2 linked regions of the Rhinolophus ferrumequinum genome follow. The protein of the gene in region 1 interacts with the protein of each later gene in a pairwise test. Links are inferred from orthologs where the notes say so. Each region holds a gene or a part of one and is shown in the gene's direction. Other genes may lie near its edges.

Region 1 (9,803 bases):
GGACCCATAGTTCCCCGCCCCCCACAGTCGGTTCTCTCTGTTTTCTGACCCCAAACTCACCTCTTCTCAGTCCCATGTGGGCAGTGCCCTCCCCTCCCCTGACGATGTTCTGGCAAACTAATCTCAGAGGCTGCTATGACCCAGGTTTGGACCGACATCTTCACAGATAAACCCTTTGGGCTACGTGCCACCAGGTCACTCCTGTAGTGGACATTCACCTGGATACCAGTCTCTTGTTGTTTCTCATCAGGCTGCCGTGAATAAACTAGTGAGTATATCAGGAAAACCAGTTCCTACAGTGGGATTTCTGGGTTGAAGAGAACATGCATTTCAGTGTCTGATCCTTACTGCCAAGCAGCCAGCAGGATCCCTGTCCCTGTCCCTGACTAGACAGAAACGGCTGATGGACACGCCAAGCTTCCATGGGAAGGATGAACCTGTCCCCTGTTACGTTTCTTCCACTTTTTTCTATCCTTAAGAAGTGTATGTTAAAAAATATCTGTTGATAGATCCGAAAGGATCAAAAGACACAAAACTAGACAAATTGGCGGCCGTTACAACATGGCCATTCCTGCAGCAGCATGATGTCTCCCAGTGTCTGTAGAAGCACCCAGGCCGGTCTGCTCTGCACTTGATCTCTTGCACGCTGGTGGGGTGCTTGATTGCACCACCCACACGCTCAGCCCGGGATGTGCCAGCAAACATGTTACCTTCCTTGTTCCCTCTCAAAGCAAGTGGCATCCTGTTCATAAAAGTGTGTGTCTTCAGTCAGAACAAAAATTAATTTTACATTGTAATCAGTATTTGGGGGTCCAATAGTGACAGTTCTCAGTGCTTCCTCAGTGCTCCATGGGACTCTGATTAAGAACCACTGACCCAATAGCCAAGCAGCTCCTGGTGGGGGTGGGGGAGCAGGAAGTCTGGGAAGGCCCAGCAGTGGTCACAGGAATCCTGACAGGTGAGTCATCATAGCATCGGGAATCTGGAAGCAAGATATAGGCAGGTCTAGGTATCCAGAAGGAACTGCTGCAAACATTGGGACAAAGTCATGAGACCTGGGCTTAAAGATGGGATCATAGATGAAGGGAAGACTGTGCTGGGTAACACTGAGTCTTGTTCCAGGAAAACCTGGCTATGGCAGGGAGGTAAAGAAGAGGACAGTAGGACAACAGAAGGATTCGGTTCCTAGAACGAGACTGCGACAGCGGCTTGGTTGTAGGGAATAAAGCAGGATTCCAATTATTGGGGTTGGGTAGTAGTTCAAGGCAAGATGAGTATCAAGACGGAGTCGGACAATTTGCTGACTTTAGACTTACAACTGGTTGCAGCTCCTGGGGCTGAGCTTACCTGCAAGTGGTGCAGAGGTATGCGGAGTGTGGGGCCAGGGGCCGGACAGTTACTTCTCTGACCACTTGAGGAATAAGTTTTAAAACCAGCTTGAGCAGGAATAGCAAGATGCTTGAGTCAAAAGACAACTTATGTCTAGGAGAACTTCACAGCCTAATTTATGGAGTAACACATGTTGAAATAGAAGTAGACCATAATCTTTTAGCTAGAGCATAAAAATAAAATCCTAAATGATATGCCTCCCCACACTCCAAAGCTGCTGAGGCTGGGATGCCAATATTATCGGAGGTGCCGGCAGGTGTTTGCTAGCGGGTGGCCCTGGAGAAGCCACCTCCGCGTGGACTGGCACAGGACCCAGCACACTGCAGTATTGTCACACATCCATTAGGTGATGGAAGGCTTCGTGGACAAGGTGAAACACGGGTTTGGCCCTAAAGCAGGGGCTCTCAACCTTGGCTCTGCTTCAGGATTACTTGGGAGTGTTGAAAGACCAGAACAAGGAAATTGGAGCTTCTGGGATGAGACACTGGGATCCATCTTTTTGAAGTGATTCCCAGGTGTAGCCAAGACTGAGAATCATGGCCTTAAAGGATGCGTAGGACTGGAAACAGCAGGTTCCAGGTAGGTTTTGCTCATTTACAGGATTAGGTAATTAATACAAGCCCCATGGCCCGTCCTCAGCCCAACCTCTGGCTCTGATTCCCTTACTTCATCATGAGGGAGTCTCACCTGGAATCAGGTAGAAACTGGGGCCCCACAGCAAGATCTCGGTTTAATGGTTCAATTTTGATTTATTAATGGGTGACATGGGATGAAAGATACATTTTCTGAGCAAGGCAGGTGGAGGGAGGTTGTGAGTGAAATCCTCTGCTACTCAAGCTTCCTAGTTCTTCCTAGAAATGTCCAGGCCAAGAGCAGTTTGGCCACCAACAAACTGTGTGGCTTTGGGCAAGTCCCACCTCCTCTCTGAGCCTCAGTTTTCTCTCTTATAAAATGAGATGGTAAAATTGATTCTTTGAAAGATCAGGGAATTATGAAATATTGAAAATGAGAGAAAACGCAAAAATAAAACTAGCTGTTGGGAAGTGTCCAGAAGAGGGTGCAAGATGCTAGGGACAAACTATATTGTGGCTTTGGCCGTCTTCTGGGAAGGGAACTGCTTACCTGAGAGCAAGGTGGCAGTGAGTGTGCCCAGATATTGGAGAACTAGAGGCTCAGAATTAATTCTGTGGGCATGCGCAGACCGTGGGCATGCAGGCTGATGCAGTTACGTTTACTCTGATCCATGCCACCTCATTTTCTCCTCCCTTCTTTCCATCCAAGCTCCAATAAATTTGTCGTTCCATTTTTTTCAGAGGTGTGTGTTTCATAACAATTATTTATACAATAGCCCTTGGCTTTGTGAACAGTGTCTATGGAGAAGAGATTTCAGAGGGTCTGGGAGAGCGTAAAGTCCACCCCTCTCCCTATTACCCCAGAAAAGAATCCAATCCTTTTGCAGCAGTCAGGATGCCTAGTAGGAAGCAAAGCGTTTCATTCCATTTAGGATTCAAGTCAAGCTTTAAATGAAACCCTCCTAAAGGGAACACAGGACCGAATTACTGAGTTATAAAGGACTAACAGCAAACTTTCCCAGGGAACAAGCTTTGAAAGGGGGGTTTTCTTCCCTGAGGTTAGCCATGTGGCATTTATGACACCAGCTCTGAACTTGCTGTGGTGTCATACACCAGGGATATGGAAGGCAGCCACCAGGGGCAACCACTGCCTCTCAGCAGGGGTATAGCCCACCCTCCCACTGACTGGTAGACTCTATAGCATCCTTGACAATGAGAATCCAGCCTCTGCTTGAATCCTCCAGGGAAAGCGAGCTCCCTTCTCAGGAGATGCCTGCTCCTCTCATGAACAGTTTTTCTTACTAGAACTTGTACTTGTCCCTCATGGTTGTCCGATGTCTATCACCCGGAAACTTCCTCCCTGTGGTCTGGGTCTGGCTTTCATTAAGCAGAACCAGCCTCATCTCTTTCACAGGACAGATTTTCAAATATATGAAAGCAGTTATGATGTCCCCATCTCTCTTGTTGAGGCCCCCAGCCCTCACCATTCCTCTGTCTGAACCTCCCTCAGAGGTTGCTCTGAGGCTCAAACAAGATCACAGAAGTAAAACACTTGGCAAGTTCCCTTGGCACAAAGTAAGTTTTCAAATGTTTTTATTCAAAGGAGGGAAAGAGCATATCTGATTGTGGGATTCGACATTCACAGAGTTCTGGCCAAGAGTAGTAGTCTTCTCAGGGATGTGGTTCAGTTCAATCAGCGTGAATTGAGATTTTAATTTGTGCCAGGTATGATGGAAGCCAGAAAGTTGGAACCGGGTCGGGGGAAGAAGGATGGAAATAAATGAGTTTCAGGTTAGCCAGAGGTCTCATTGGGATTGCAAGTGCTGCCTGTCTGGCAGGTGGAAAGGTGGGTCTAAATTAAGATGAGAATTGGATTTGTGGTAAGCGGTGAAACGGGGTGTGGAGAGGAAGAAGGACGAGGTCTGGGAAATGGGCCACAGTTTTACTCAGGAATCAGGAAGAAAAAGCAGAGCTAGAAAAGGACATGGAGAAGGTGTGGTTAGAGAGGCTGGGAAGACAAGAGGAGAAAAGTGATAGGAGGAGACAGATTAACATGGTGGGGAGAGTCCATTACTCTCTCCCTCTCCCCCGACCCTGTGCTTCAGAGGAAGAATGCAATTTCACTAGGATGGGGCTGAGAGGAACCGCTAAGGAAGGAATTAAGGCAGCGGCTCTCTTAACCTTGGCTGTCATTAGAAACACTTCATAGCTCTTAAGAATCCCTTTGCCCAGGCAGCACCCCAGACAGAATTTCTGGGAGTGGAAGCCAGGCACTCGTTTTTGTACAAGCGATTCCAATGTGCAGAAAGTGTTGAGAGCCAATGAATTCTGGAGGGACTGGGTGTGAGTAAGTGGAGCCAGCTGGTACAAGCTGGAAAGGAGAACAGAGAAAAAGTCAAGAGCCAGTGGAGAGTTGCTGGTAGAGAGAAGGGGCTGCTGGTGGAGCACTATGGTGGAGAAGCTAAGGTTACCTGGGGCAGCGGTGGGGAACTAACTGATAGTCCCAAGGGGGCTGTCTTTGTCCCAGGGGGAGAAACCCTAGGGAGGTGTGAAAATGCTGAGTTCAGGCCTCACCCCCAGCATTTCTGATTCAGGAGGTCTGCCGGAGGACTGATAATTTGTATTTCTAATAAGTTCCCTGGTGATGCTGACAGCCCTGGGGCCACACTTGGAGAACTACTAGAATACAGGGAAGGAAAGTATGCAGACAAATTTTTGAGTGAGAAAGGATGGAACTGTTTCCTTTCTGCCCTTGCCAGTGATAGAAAGAGCTCCCATTTCAGCTCCAAGGAGAGTTGCCCAAGCTTTCGTTACTGCATTTGTCAATCCTGAAAGGACAATTCTTTAGAATTACAGAAGAACTTAAAACAATTCAGGTATTGAGGTCCCAGTCTTGGCCAATATACCAGAATTCTTGAGGGGGGCCTTTCTTAGAGCTATTAAAGCTCCCCAGGTGATAATTCTCATGGAGGAGGCACAGGTAAGAAGGGCCAGACACGTGAATTAAAAGGGGATCTTGCACGCCAGGTGGGAAGCCCTTAAATAGGATGAGTTTAAAAACCCTTCCAGGGCAGGACTCCAGGACAACTGTTCCAGCTGGTGTAGATGGACGCTTTGGTTGGGAACCACCTTCAGAGGCCATTCCTCATTCAGGTACAAATGTCACCTTCAGAAAACCAAGGTCCCATCGCCTCCTACAGCTTCTGCTCTCCCTCCACCTACTCCTGCCAATTATTTTCTTTTTTTGGCTGAAATGTCTACTTTTTGCTGGAAGTAGAAGAGGGACTGAAGCTGCTGCAGGTAGCCACATGCCACTGGCAGAGGGGACAAAAATAGATGAGGTAGGTAGTAGCAGAGGGACTGAGAGTGTGCGAGGGGAGAAAACGTGACACTTCCCAGAGAAGCCAACAATCCTCCCAGATGGTGGCGGGTGCCTACTTGGCAGCTGGGGGAGGCGGGGACGGGCAAACAAAGTGGAGAAGAGTTGCGACTCCCACCTTTCTGATTAAGATTTCAGCGCAGGGAGCCCATCTTGGCGGAGACAATCTTTGGCATAGCCCCGTCACCTCATAACAATCTACGACATAACTGAATTTAAATAATGAAAGTATTGGCTACAGCCTCGTAAAACACAGAGGACAGTGTATGGAGCCTTTCCGCCGTAGACATCCCTCCTTTTATTCCTCTTCGCCTCTCTGGTTACTTTCCTCTTGCGTACTTGTCCGTCCTCCATCCCCGGCACAACCCCCCGAGGCACAGCCCGCGTGGACCCGGAGCGTGGCGCGGCAGGTGCGGCAGCCGGCGCGCACCTGTCCCGCGTGCGCGCGGCGTCCAGCAGGGGGCGGCCGCCGCCCGCTCCTCGCCCGCCCCGCCCCCAGGCCGGAGGACCCCGCGGCGGCGGGGACGCGGGAGGGCGCGTCCAGCCCGGCCCCGTTGGGCGCAAAGGCGCGGCGGCACACACCCGCCGCCCGCTCTGACGCCCGCTATCCTCCCTCCCTCCGCCGCCCGGCGCCGGCACCTCCTCCCATACCTGAGCCGGGAGCGGCGCCGCGCGGCCTCCTCCCCCGCCCGCCCGCAACTCCGGCCCGGCCGCAGCGACGCCGCTGCCGCGGGAGTAAAGGTCGCGCCGGCAGGGAGCGAGCCGGTCGCGGCGCCTCCAGGAAGCCGGCGGGACAGGTCGGGGGAAAGGGACGAGAAACACACAAACTCTCGGCCAGCCCAGGAAGATGGCGCCAGGCGGGCTGGCCGTGGACTGAGAGCCACCGGGGCAGCGAGGAGCCGGGACCTGCCGCCGCCGGGGCACGAGCGAGGGCAGTCTGCAGGCACGGCGCCCCGGGCTCGGCCCTGCCCGCGGGGTCATGTCGGTCAGCGAGCTCTACAGCCAGGTGAGTGCGGGCCGCGCGCCGCGGCCGGGCGGGCACAGGTGAGGGCTGCGTGGGGCGGGGGCGGTGCGCGCCAGGCCACCGAGGCCCTCCCGGGCGCCTTCTCCTGCTGCTCCAGGAGCCGGGGGGCACCTGAGATGCCTCTTAAGCTCCCCTTCACCATCTCTTCGGCGCCCCTAACTTCGGGGTGGAGGAGAAAGTTTGGCTGTTCGGGGAGCGCCTGGCACTGACCGGCCGCGGCTCTGTCCCTGGCTAGGGCTCTGGTTTCCTCCCCGACACTCGGTCATCGCTTTTCTCGCCCCGACTCCGGCTCGGCTCGGGCTGAATTCCCCGAACCGACCGCGGGGGCCAGCTCGGAACCCGCTGCGTGGGGACAGCCCCCTGCGGTGGCGCCCATCTCAGTCACGGACCCTACCCCAGGTGCTCTTCAGCGTGAGCTCCCAAGGTCGACCCACTAAGGCTTGTAAGCCTTCCTTTTCTCCCGAGGTCAATGAGGGGAAACCCTGAACTTGGAGGGGATGTTCCTGCACTTGGGGGTGGAGAGAGAAGGGGTCCCAACGAGGTGTGAGGGGTGCAGCGGCTGGAGGTGTGGAGGGACGTAAGCCATGGGATCGCTGGAGATCCCAGGGAAGCGCATTCATAGTTTGACAGGGAGGGGCACTCGGAGGTGACCCCTCTGGATGGGTACCGGGAGGGCTTCAGTTACTGTGGGGAGGGGGTTGGAGTAACCTGGCGGGGGTGCGGGTGGTGTGGAGTGTGGATTTCCAGGGTGCCTGCAAGGTTAGAATGGATGTATGGGGCTCCGTCCTCAGTCGGGGACAGAAAAGTGGAGACGCCCCGCTTCCGCGGCAGTTGCTATGGTTAAAGTTAGGGACCAGTCACCGCTTCCCCCTACGCCCACTGGTGCGCAGCCGCAGCCGAGGTACCCTCGAGTTTCAACCTGGCGCTGGGGGTGAGAGGGGTCGGGGCATTTAAAGCACGTGCCCACCTCCAACCCATTCTTCAGTTTTGGATGTTCCCACGCCTTTCCTGCCTGCCTGTCTTGGCTGTGGCCGGGGCACCTTGGACAATGCCTTGTGCTCGCCTCTATGCAGAGGTGTGTGTGTGTGTGGGGGGGGTGCACGCACACTCGTGGGTGTGCGATCCTCAGGACACCTACCGGGCCAACAGGTCTGGGTGGAGGAGGAAGGGCCACTTCCGCCTTCTCACCTGGCGATTGCTTGCCGCTGCCGCGCACGTGGGCCAGTCCTTCTGTTGGGTGGGCTGGCTATTTTTCCTTTAGCAAGTTTTCTAATTTCATCGTACCTCCGGGAGCGGGGCAGGGCTGAACTGGGATGATCTGAGGCCGCCACCGCAGAGGATGTAAGTCAGCTGGCGGCGGGTCTCAGCAGCCGGGGACACCTGCACCATCCCCACCAGGCTTTCCCTGACAGCGATAGCAGCGATCACGAATGGTCGGAGGGTAGATTCCCGGAAAGGTGGGGGTGTGTGTGGGGAATCTCGGGTGCTTCTGGCTTTGGAAAAGCACCCCACCCCGTTTACCCGTGGGAGGAGCTCTCAGAGCTCCAGGCTTCAGTTCTTTCCCTGACGTGGGTTATCAGGAACTTTGACTGAAGGTTGGAAACCTGTGAGTCAGGGAAAAATCTGAAGTATAAAGGGCTGAGCTTTGTTACAGGAAAGTTCACGAAAATGCCACTTGTACTCCCAAGTGAAATGAGTGACTTAAGTGAATATACCTGCAATGTATCCTGAAGTCTTTTATTAGATGATTGCAACGTTATATGAAGCTAATGGATAACTGAATAAACCCTTAATTTTTGGAGCCCTGATTATTGGAAAAAGAATTAATATTGGATTGCTTTTAAAGACAACACTTTCAGAGGAGACCACTCAATCTTAAAAATTTTATTGCATGTTAGAAATGAGTATATTGCGTATTAACTATTACAAATGAATTAGGGGTAGTCTGAGCTAAAGTTTTAGTGTACTTTTTCTGGACTTATGGAGATGGACAAAACTGTTTCACCAGGCAAAGGTCTTGGGAGAACATACAAGACACATATTTTTAAGTTTATTGGTGTGAGAGTTGGCGTAATCCAAATAGTATTAGACTTTCTTCCTAGGGCTAGGGGGACTGTATATCCCTGTGTTAATAGGTTTCTAGTTCTTAAACACTTTTAAGTCTATAAATCTGAATTTGAGAAGATTTTCCATGACCAATGCTGTATCTTCAAGATTGTGTTGCTGTTATTTTTCTTCCTGGCAGAGTTAAACACACTTACGCAGTTAGGCTTTACTATGAGAAACGGTGCATTGTTTCCTAACCATTGTCACCTCACTTGCTAAGCTGGATTCTCTGTATGCATATGACTCATAAATTATACAGAGAAATTGTGTCTGCTATTTATATTCACTTTGTTTCTTGGGGGAGATGATTTGTTCATTTTTGTGTATTATCAAAGTAGCCAGTGTTCCCTTTTGTTTTTAACCGGCTAGTGGGGCTTTTCTAATGTGATGAATACTGGATCCAGGCACACCCTTCAGTGTATTATATATGATGGGAATAATTATCTATTATGCCAGCAGTATTTACACCTGGGATGGAAATTTTGAAGCCCTTTGTTGATTATACCTGTTGCGTTAGTGACACAGTTGGAAGACATTATTCGAATGAGGCACTTAAATGTATAAATTAGCTAAGTATAAATAGTTTCAGGTAAGAACTTAGTGTATTAGTCTATTCCTAGTTATCCAAGAGAAGGCTTCCTCCTTTTCCCTCCCTCCAAGTTAGTTTCTTGCTCTCTGTCAGCTCTCTTCGGCTGGCTCATGTGCTGTGCATACATATATTTTTTTTTTTTTTGGAGTTGATTTGAGTCATTGGCAAAGGGCCCTTCCCATTAACAAAGGCACTCCTGTTTTCAGAAAACCCAACACCTCACATTTGAGAAATTGCTTTCTTTGTAGTGAGGTTTTTCTGGATGGGAAAAGAAACTCGGAGTACATGTCATACACTTGGAGGCTGATGTTCAGGTGAGTCAGCCTCATTCACTCTTACAGAAAGGTGGCGCTTACGCAGGGCTCTCACACAGCTGGCTCGGATGTGGCAAGTGTTACTTTTGTTTCCAACCCACAGGAAAAGACAATAGGGACTCCTTTGATTTGTACAGGTCCCAGGAAGACACCCCAACTGTGCAAGCATGATGAGTATGATTTAATTATGATAATTGCAGACGATAGTCTGATTTTTTTTTTTTTAAAGTAAAATACGTAACCTTTCCCTCGGGAGGAATAATACAACTGTGGGTTATTCTGGAGGAAGAATTGAAGTATTGCTCTTTCAAGTACTGTGATTTTCAGTATACTACTTTGATTCTAACCAGTGGAGTGGGAAATCACCAGATTGAAATCACTCCCTTTAAAAGCCTTTCCTGCTTGATTTTTTAATTGATATGTGGTGTCT
Region 2 (10,122 bases), on another chromosome or scaffold:
ACCAGCTGATCCTGCTGTGCCTTAAACCTCCGTGAGATTTCCTCTTTGAACTGTGATCAAGAGGCAGAGGTCACTGTGGAGGCTGCCTGGGCTCCGCCCATCAAGAGCCTCTGCCTTCTTCGGCTGCCACCTCTAGGTGTGGGACGTCCCCCTTGCAGTCTTCACTCCATCGCTCCAACTGCCATAAGCAGCTCCTTTGTTAACCAAGGCGATGGACCAATGAGAGGCTCCTCCCTCAATCAGCCCAGGGCTTCCCATCCCAAGAAGCCCTTCTGCTACCTGTCCCCCTGCCCCAGTCCCTCTGCCCAGGTCCCTGAGGGTACTGCCTGGGCAGCACTCTTCAGCAGCCTTGGACCCAGGCCCAGTCTCCCTCAGCCTTCTCGTCTCACACCCCCAGTTTCTCTCCCCTCTTCATTCCCAAAGTGCTTCTAACAACTACAACACAAGGAGCCCAGTTATTATACCGGCACTAACTATTCACGAGTTAAGTGTCTAGGTCCTATGAGATACACAATAGTCATCATCTCTATTAGAAAGACGAGGAAACTGAGCAGCAGAGCAGGTAGGTGACTTGCACGCCGCAGACTGGACTCAGGTCTCCACACCAAAGCCCAGGCTCTTAACCAAACACACTGCCTCTCAATTACAGCTGATTTCAAATCCAGCTTTGCAGAGAAAAGGATTTAAATTACGGAATATAGCCATTTTATAAGGTTGGGGGTCGGGGGTGGGCAGCGAGGGTACTAAAGGCTGGCTTGGGAAGAGTTAGACTCCCAAATCTATCAGCGCTCCCAAACCAGTGCACTTGCAAAGCCAGGCAGCTTCCAGATCCCTCCCTTCCAACCAGATGGCCTATCTTAAGCCCCGCCCATGTGAATTTCTGGAGCAGCCACAGGGGGGTGGCGAACCCAGGCAACACTCCCTCATCGGATACGTTTTTATTGAGCACCTACTGCACACTGTGTAAATCCCGGAGGGCTGAGAACCAAATGTAACCACCTGGATTGGAAAGCGCAGGAAGGATCTGGGCAGAAGGAAATCCTCCCCCCACTGCCGGGGCGGCGAAGAAGGCGGGGCGTCCTCCCAAGCGCACAGTAGGCACCCGAGGTCTCCGCGGCGTCCCCCGCGCGCTCTCCCGGCTCAGCACCATGCCCGGCCCCCATTTTGCCTCGGCGCCCCGAACCCCCATAAGTAACCGGGGCGCAAGCCCAGGGTCCTTCCCCTTCCCTGCGCAAGGTGTCCCCCTCCCCTCTCTCCACCACGCCCCCAGTCCAGGCCACAAGGCAAACCCCGGCCTCCCTTCCCCAACACGCGTGCCATGCTCCTCCAACTTACCCTCGCAGGACGCCCCTGACCCGCCTCTCCTCCCTTCTCGCTCCTCCGAGTGCCGTCTGGGCCCCCGCCCTCCTCTCCCAGGCCCTTCTTTGCGCCCGGCAGTCCCGAGCCACCCCCCTCTCTTCGCGGACCCCTCCTCCGCGCTCCCCCCGACGACCGTAGTACCTCCTTGACCGAGGCTCGATCGCAGATCACAATTTCCTCCTTGTCCTTGGGGGTCTTGACGGTGACCCGAATGGGGGGCCTCGTCTCAGCCCCGCTCGGCTCCGCCATGCCGCCGCCGCCACCCGGCCGCCCGCCAGCCCGCTCCGGCTCCTCCTCCTCCCCGCCCGCCCCGCCGGCCCGGCTAGGCTCCGGCGCCTCCAACACTCCCCTCTCCTCCCCTCCCCTCCCCAAGGCTTCACCGCCCCCTCCGGACCAGCCGCAGCCACAGCGCCCCGGGCGGACTGGGGGGGCCACTGCAGCAGTGTCCGCCCAGGGCCGAGCCTGGGGTCCCGCAGCCTGGTCTGGGCCTCGCTGGGCGGCGGCCCCTGGGGCGCTCGGGACGGGGGCGGGGCGAGTCCCTCACTGCTGGGGTGAGGGGCGAGCGCCCCACGGGAGACCACAGCCCATCCGAGCGGGCCAGAGCTGAGCCGAGGTCCCCTCCGACCCAAAACAGCTCCTGCCCCCACCACGGGTCACTCCCGCTGCGGGACAAAGGACTCTGTGTCGCCGCTTTATCTCCGTCCCCTGCGATAGCTGGTCTTTTATTGAGAAGCCCAAATCCTTCTCGGGCCTGGGGCCTCTGCCGACTGGTAGGATGAATTTTCCCACTTCTGGACGTCCACCTAAAATCTCATCTCTAGAATTGATTTCATTCCCCCGAGGATCGTGGCCTGAATGAACTCTATTAGGTACTGTTCCAGCGACCTGGGTTTTGCCTGCATGGCCTTCCCGAGCCTTAGTTTCCTCAATAGTATCTATGGCTTCATCACCCAGAATTGTGCATAATGTAGAAAATTGCTTTGAAAAGCAACCAAAGGTGTGCCTAACAAACACAGGGATTTTATTTTTTTATTTTTTTAATTACTGAGTCGTGGATTGTCAAGCGGACATGACTTTTCTCTCCCCGAGGGGGTTAAATGTCCTTCCAATACCGCCAATGTCCTTTCACTCCCGCTCTTTTCCCCCACAACCGCGTGGTCTCAGTGGAAAGGCGAACTATCGTTCCCAGGATGCCTCACGAGGCCTCAAGGAACTACAATTCCCAGTGCCCTCCGCGGTAAAGCGGGGTTGAGTCAAAACTACAAAACCAGGCGGAGAAACTACAACTCCCAGGGCGTTCCGGAGCAGGTCAGCTGAACTACCGGAAAGGGCTGGCGGAGGCCCGCAGGAGGCAGTTCGGAGGTCTGGGTGCAAAAACCCAGGTTTGGGAGCTGCAGGCATGCTACGTCCCAAGGCTTTGACCCAGGTGCTGAGCCAAGCCAACACTGGAGGTGTCCAGAGCACCCTGTGAGTGCGGACCGAGGACCCGAGCGACGAGCACTGGAGTCGGGCAGCGCGCGGCTCTCCGAGGGAGGGGTGGGGAAACATCTCCGGGAAGGGAGGAGGCAGAGTGGGCAGCCGCCTTGGAGGGCCCCTCTCGAAAGGGGAAAGCGACGGCCTGGGTGCTCTGGGCACCTTCTAGGACACACTCAACCTAGACCCTTGCTTTCTAGAAGCGCCAGTGGCGGGAGCTGGGATGGGAACCCAGGACTCTTACTCCCCATCCTGAGCACGTCGCTGCCCCTTCCGGTTCCTCGCCAGGCTGCTGAATAACGAGGGATCTCTGCTGGCTTACTCTGGTTACGGGGATACTGACGCCCGGGTTACCGCCGCCATCGCCAGTAACATCTGGGCCGCCTACGACCGGAACGGGAACCAAGCGTTTAATGAAGACAATCTCAAATTCATCCTCATGGACTGCATGGTATGGAGTGGGAAGCCACTTCCTCTGTCCCCCAAAGGGATCCCCGGGGCGACCTGGACCCGGTCCCGGATGGTTGGAGGGGCAGGATCTCGGGAAGATTGCTAAGAGTTGGCCCGCAGCACCATTTATCATAGGCAGAACCCTGTGCATCACAGTGGTGAGGAAGGGGCCCTGGACCCCGGGTCTGCCTGGGGTTCTGGTCTCAGCCAGCCACTTACCGTCTGTGGAACCTTGGGTAAGTTACTTAACCTCTCTGAGCTTCCTTATCTCCTCTCTGAGGTGGAAACAATAAACCCCGGTCCCCACCTCAAGGGGCTGTGGTGAAGATCAACTAACAGAGTGGATGTAAACTGTAGAGTGAGGTACACACAAAGTGCTGTCATGCCAGAGTCACTGACTCACAGGCCTATAAGAGTCTCCAGACCCTTGTCTAATCCCTTGAGGAAGGAAAAAATATGTAAGTTAAAAAAATAGTATGTTAGATTTCTAAAAACGCTATGGAGAAAAATAAAGCAAGGAATTGAGATAAGGGTGGCATGCGCCAGGGATAATCTCACTGAACAGGTGACATTTCATCACAGATTTGAAAGAAGTTGGCAAGCCATGTGGCTGTCTGGGGCATAAACATTTCTGATGGAGAGAACAGCAAGTGCAAAGGCCCTGAGGCAGAAAGGTGCCTGGTCACAGATCGACAAGGGAGATGTGGCTGGAGTGGCATGAGAATGGGGGGAGGATGATAGATGATGCCAGACAGGCAGTACATGGTTCCTAGCACACACTGGATACCTAGTGAAAGTTTGCTGAACCGAATTGAGAAGGCCGCAAGAATGAAGGGTTTCCACTGTACTCAGCTACCTACCACTTCCTGGCCCCCATTCCAGCCAAGGATGCATTCCAGTTCAGCCGATGACTCCTGGGTGCCCAGCTCAGACCTAGTGCTATAGGGCAATAGCTTTCAAACATTTGACCACAGCCCAGCTGTAAGAAACACATTTGATGCTGGAGCCCCGTGCAAACAATCACTCGCTCAAACAAGTTCCCTGACTACATGCAATGCATTTCTCTTCATTTCTCTTCTTTTCCTTCCTTTTTTCTTTCGATGCTAATCAACCTTCTTAATTAATCTCCTAACCCGGACGTCGGGTGTGCAGTTTGAAACACATTGCCATTGGAAAAGAGAACTAGGAGTGGGGTTTCTGCTCTCAAGCCTCTTATAGTGTCTTGGAGGTGAACCCATAATAATAACATAGCCCATTAGAAGAGCCCGGAATTCCTTCCCGTGTGCTAGTACCCTCAGCAACTGGGATGAGGTAGGGGTTACAGAAAGAGAACCGAGTTTCTGGGAGATTGAGTTTTCTGGGGTGACTTGGTTCGTGGCTGTGCTGAGGCTGGAATCTGGGCACAGGACCCCATGTCCAGGGCTGTGGCCAAAGCCCCCAGCTGAAGCTCCAACCCTGCCCGGGGCGTGGAAGGAAGATACAGTCTGTCTCACGAGGAGCCCGTGGGGAAAGGGGGCTTAGGGTGCCAAGCAGGGCCTCCCATCCCACGATGTCACCCCCACCAGGAGGGCCGTGTGGCCATCACGCGAGTGGCCAACCTACTGCTGTGTATGTATGCCAAGGAGACCGTCGGCTTCGGGATGCTCAAGGCCAAGGTATGTGTGCTCGTTGCTCCGCCACCTGGGCCCGGCCCCTGTGCTCCGTCAGGGTCCACTCCCGTCCCCACCGCCTTCCTGGGTCCTCATGTCACCCAGTCCCTGTCCACTGGGGCTGGGGGCTGGGTGCTCGGTATGGGGAGTCGACCTGGATTTGGGGTCCCTTTCGTGGCAGGCCACATGTGGGACGCTTTTCCTCCCCCTCCCGCAGGCCCAAGCCTTGGTGCAGTACCTGGAAGAACCTCTTACCCAGGTAGCAGCGTCGTAAGGGGCACTGGTGGAAGCTGGGGTCAGGCAAGAGAGATGACCATTGGAGGGGCAGGGCCCCCTGGGGAATCCTTCCTGGTGTGTGGGGGGAGGGGAGGGACTTTGTTTTTTCCAAGAATAAATTTCAGTCCTGTCTTACGTCTTGGTTGCTTTCTTGGCTGGGAGGAGTCAGGGGATGGAAAGGAGCAGGACTGGCTTACGGGTTCTTCATGTCCTGCGCCCCCACCAGAATCTCCAGTGGAGTGGCCTCACCTGGCCCTCGCCACTCAGAGTCTCACCCACCTGGTTGGCAAAACCTTGGAAGTGAGCTCCGAGGAACGGGGCCAGTGGGCGTCATGTTGAACAAAGAGAATATAGAGCCAGGGAGTGCAGTGTCCGTAGGTCCCGACTTTGGCGGGGTTGCCTTTCCTACTCTTGGGGTTGGGAGGGGGCCACCCCTTTCCTCTCCAAGGCCTTCACATTCTGACGCGCAGCTCCAGGTCTCGAAGCCCTCTGCAGACACCATTGCTTTCCGGTGAGGCCTCAGGTCCTGGGCAGGGATCTGGAGAAACCAGAAGACCTCTCAGGCCTTCGTGTCCTCACCCTGGCCCTACGCTTGCACCCCTCACCCCACCTGGCTGTTTCTGTCCAGGTCTCCTCCTACCTGTGTCCTTAGAGCAGGTGTGGGCGGGAAGCTACCAGCCCCTTTCCCAGTGCTATAGAAAGGGACCCATCGCAGGGAAGCCTATAGGTAGCAAGTTCCAGCTCCACCCAGTATGAGAAATGCTGCCCCTCCCAGGCCCAGAGCTGTCTGGGAGGGGCAGGAATTGCCGGGCCTAAGATGCAACTCCCAGAGCTCTGCGCACAGATAGGTGACTGCCACCCCATCAGCCTCTCCCCTGGGGCCCCCACCAGAGGCTCTAAAGGAAAAGCAGGAGGCCAAGCCAGCTTCTGCTCCTTGAGGGGCCTTGTCACTTACTGGCGGCTGGGCCCCCCTGGGCTGCAGGTGCTAGGAGCCTAGCGCCAGGCACTCGGTCCTCAGCTGTCTCTCGGAAGGTCCCGTCTGCCCCAGCTTCCCCACTACCACCCCCTGGAGCCTGCTCACCTCATTGCGGGAGCCTAGGCGGAGAGCAGACACCCAACCTGTCTAACCTGTCTGACGTCACCGTCTCCACCCACCTGGGCCCCAGGTCTCCAGTGCCCTGCTCTTCCTGTTCTCAGCTTCCGTCCTCTCAGCTTCCTTACAGCACCCCTACCTGCCAGAGCGGAGCGTCCCCAGGCCTTGCCTGGCCTGACACAGGCCCTCAGTCCCTCTGGCCGGCCGGAAATTCTTTTACCCCCAATGAGAGGAGGGGTGGACCCAGGTCTCTTAAGAGCTGAAGGTTGAAGGTGCTGAGCCAACGCGGAGACAGTCACCTGTGCCCCGAAGACACTTGTACCCTCTTATGTGGAGCCGAGATGGGGAACGGGACCGAGGAAGATTATAACTTTGTCTTCAAGGGTGAGTTGGGGTTCGGAAAGAGGAGGCCTGAGAAACCCAGAAAGAGACCAACAGAGCCAGAGGCAAAGCCTCCTATTTTGTTTGGTTTTAATCTCTAACCAGGAATCCACCCTCTTGCCCCCGCCCCCCCACCCCCTGGGCTCATCATTTGGATAAGAAAGAAAGCTGCAGGGAGCTGGGAAGGTCTGGTGTCTGGGGCGGCCCGAATGCTCTACTGTGTCAATAATGTGTTCCTCGGTCCCTAAGAGTGCCAGTGAGGCTCCTCTGCCCGTTCCTAATGCCACATCCCTAGGAATAGTCAGCCACTGCAGCAGAAGGGGCGGAGGTCAGACTTCAGAGAGGACTTCCCTCAGGCAGACTTATGGGGAAGAAAGTCATTTTTCTGGGCAGATATACAGAAAAGGGGACAAAGGAGGGTCCCGCTCTGTCTGTCATGGGGCTAGGTGGAGATATAGGGAAGATGTTGTGCATTGAGCAGGGGCTAACAGGACTCTGAGGGCTCCTGGGGCCGTGGCCTCCTCGGTCTGTCCCTTGGCATGTAAAGCCAGGCACTGGGTTCAGCGTGGCTGTCCCTGAAAGTGTGCACGTGTCTTTCCTGCTCTTTATCTCAGCCCGTGTTTGTGTCCCGTCCTCCTGTTCCCCTCCCCCGTTGTTCGCCACCCCCACCTCCTCACCCCCTTCAGGGCAGGGTGGGCTGGCGGGGCTGTGGTTCCCTGTCCAGCCACCCCACCCCACTGCCTCTCCCAGCCTCAGCCCCGCCCTCACTTGGGACTCAGGCAACTTGAGGTTGGGGAACCTGTACTCCCAGCATCTTTCCCAGGAAGGGAGACAGGGTAAAGGTTAGCAATAGTCTGGGACGATCACACTGCTACCGTGTTTCCCCGAAAGTAAGACCTAGCGGGACAATCAGCTCTAATGTGTCTTTTGGAGCAAACGTTAATATAAGACCCGGTCTTATTTTACTGTAAGACCGGGTCTTGTAATAATGTAATATAATTAATATAATGCAATGTAATATAATGTATAATAATATAATGCAATAAATATAGTATAACACCAGGTTTTATATCAATGTTTGCTCCAAAAGATACAGTAGAAGTGATTGTCCAGCTAGGTCTTATTTTTGGGGAAACACAGGAGTAACTACTGTTTATTGAACCCTTACTGTGTGCTAGCCGCTGGCTCGTTAATCACCACAACAGCCCCCAAAGTTCTCTTTCATTTTGAAAGCGTAATGGTCAGGAGGCAGACTGCCTTCCGATTTCAGCCCTGCCGCTTAATACCTACTGCAGGTTGCGGGGTCTCCAGAAGTTTAGGATGCAAGATGCTTATTATGGACCAACACCAGTGAAAGGAAGGGAGAGGGAACAGGATTGGGCAGAGAGGGAAGTGAAAACGCAAGACAGGGTCACCAAGCCTTAGCCAATGGGCCGGGAGCCCCGTAATACCTTTGCCTTGCTGGGGCCCTGGATGCAGGCTGCCCAGGGCGCGTGACCTCGGGTGAGGCAGCTGTCTGCCCCACGCAGGAGGAGGCAGCTGCTGGAGGAGCGGAGCGGGCAGCTGGAGGCTGCCTGCTGACTGCACTCCCTGGGCTGGGGCAAGTCCTTCCTGGAGGACACATCTGGGCAGCACACCTGTGTTTTTACGCACTAGCTATGTTATCTTGCTCAAGTCATTTAACCCCCCAAGCGCCTCCTTCCTTTGTCTGTAAAAAATGCAACGGTGGAACTAATGGCACTTGCCTGTGGCACTGTTGTGAGGATGAAGTGACTTCATATGTGGAAAGCCTCTGAGATAAATGTTAAGAATTAGATCTCCATTTCACAGACGCAGATGAGAGACAGGGTATGTAGCTTACAAAAGGTCACAAGGCATCACAAGCCCTGGTCTGTCTGACACCAAAGGCCCGAGCCTCTGGAGCCTGAGGACAAGGCTAGGCCTCCACCCCCCAGCAGGGTGAGTGGGGATGAGCTTCCCTGCAGGGGAGAGGCAGGAACACACACACACACACACACACACACACACACACACACACACACACACACACACAGCCATACTGTTCCCAGCTCTTTCCTGCCTTACACAAATGAGAAATGCCTTAAGCTGGAGGCGGGTGCATTTCTAGGTTTTATAAACAAGGAAACAAACCCAGAAAAGGTGAGCCACTTGCTCAAGGTCACATAGCTAGTCAGAGGCTGAGAGGGAACCAGTCCCTGGGCACCAGCATGCCTTTCCAGAACCACCCCGATGACTGACTTCCTCTCGTCCTGCTGCTCAGCTCAGTACCGGGCAGTGTGTTGGTCATGCTTACGTCAGCCGCCACTGGACCCCAGCGGCTCCCTGCCCCTGAAAACCTGAGGGTAACCGCACTGACCCACCAACCACAGTCATGGCAGTAACGGTTTTGCACACTCACCACATCCTGGCAATGTCTCATTTACTTCTTGCAACAACCCACAAGACAGGTACTAGTGTTATTCCCGTTTTTCGGATGAAAAAGGTCAGAGAGGTTAAATAACTTGCTGAGGGACACACACAGCCCCAGAGTCTTCACCTTGCAAGACGGACCCTGCTAGGGGACAACTGGATCATAGCTTCTTACACATTCACCTCCGGACGTGCCATGTGCCAAACTTTCTCCTCACCCACATTCCTAGTCACACCTCTGCTCCTGTGCAAACACACACCCCAGCCTCTCACTTATCCTCCCAGCTCATGTACAGAGAAACAAGCACAACAACGTGTCCCCTAGCCGGGAATGTGCACCCTCCCCCAGGCCTGCCATCCCTGTGCAGTCACAGCCCTGCTAACGTCCCCATGTAACACCCACGAGCAGGCCCCAGACATCATTCAGCCCGGACCCAGGCTGACTGCAGCCTTGTCTCAATGGACGGGCCTGGGAACTTGAAAGCACCAGACCCTTAGCTGCGTCCAGCTCCCAGCCCTTCTGCCTCGATGGACTCAGCAAGCCCAGCGGTCAGGAGCCTCAGCTCCCTCCTCGGTCTTCTGAACTCAGCTCCCCTTTGCTGGTGGGCAGACCCCGGGGCTCAGGAAGGCTTGGGCCCTCTGCCCACTCAGCCCTTCTCTCTCCATTCCTTCAGTGGTGCTGATCGGAGAGTCTGGCGTGGGCAAGACCAACCTGCTGTCCCGCTTCACGCGCAATGAGTTCAGCCACGACAGCCGCACCACCATCGGGGTGGAGTTCTCCACGCGCACTGTCATGTTGGGTACCGCCGCCATCAAGGCTCAGATCTGGGACACGGCTGGCCTGGAGCGGTACCGAGCCATCACCTCGGCGTGAGCCCCGGGCTGGGGGTGCTGGGGAGGTCAGGGGACACCTCCAGAGGACAGGTGGGGCACAGGAAGCAGGGCACACAGCCATGTGCACCCTGCAGGGACCGCAGGTCGCCACAGCCCTGGCTGAGGACACACCAGTAC

The links. The genes of interacting proteins can lie anywhere in the genome.
Region 2: the proteins of MYO5B (region 1) and RAB25 interact in binary tests that used the Homo sapiens proteins (3 or more experiments, as listed by UniProt). The link is inferred for Rhinolophus ferrumequinum from reciprocal best matches to the Homo sapiens genes MYO5B and RAB25.

The regions. Positions count from the first base shown.
Region 1 is NC_046302.1:41,028,613-41,038,415, reverse strand, and holds the start of MYO5B (unconventional myosin-Vb), read left to right. Parts: upstream 1-5,996; 5' UTR 5,997-6,319; coding exon 6,320-6,346; intron 6,347-9,803. UniProt on the Homo sapiens protein: May be involved in vesicular trafficking via its association with the CART complex. The CART complex is necessary for efficient transferrin receptor recycling but not for EGFR degradation.
Region 2 is NC_046305.1:671,556-681,677, forward strand, and holds the start of RAB25 (ras-related protein Rab-25), read left to right. Parts: upstream 1-6,387; 5' UTR 6,388-6,641; coding exon 6,642-6,684; intron 6,685-9,785; coding exon 9,786-9,981; intron 9,982-10,122. Other genes in the region: UBQLN4 (ubiquilin-4), read right to left, coding at 1-50, 1,501-1,608; ragulator complex protein LAMTOR2, read left to right, coding at 2,759-2,826, 3,121-3,283, 4,848-4,937, 5,149-5,205. UniProt on the Homo sapiens protein: The small GTPases Rab are key regulators of intracellular membrane trafficking, from the formation of transport vesicles to their fusion with membranes.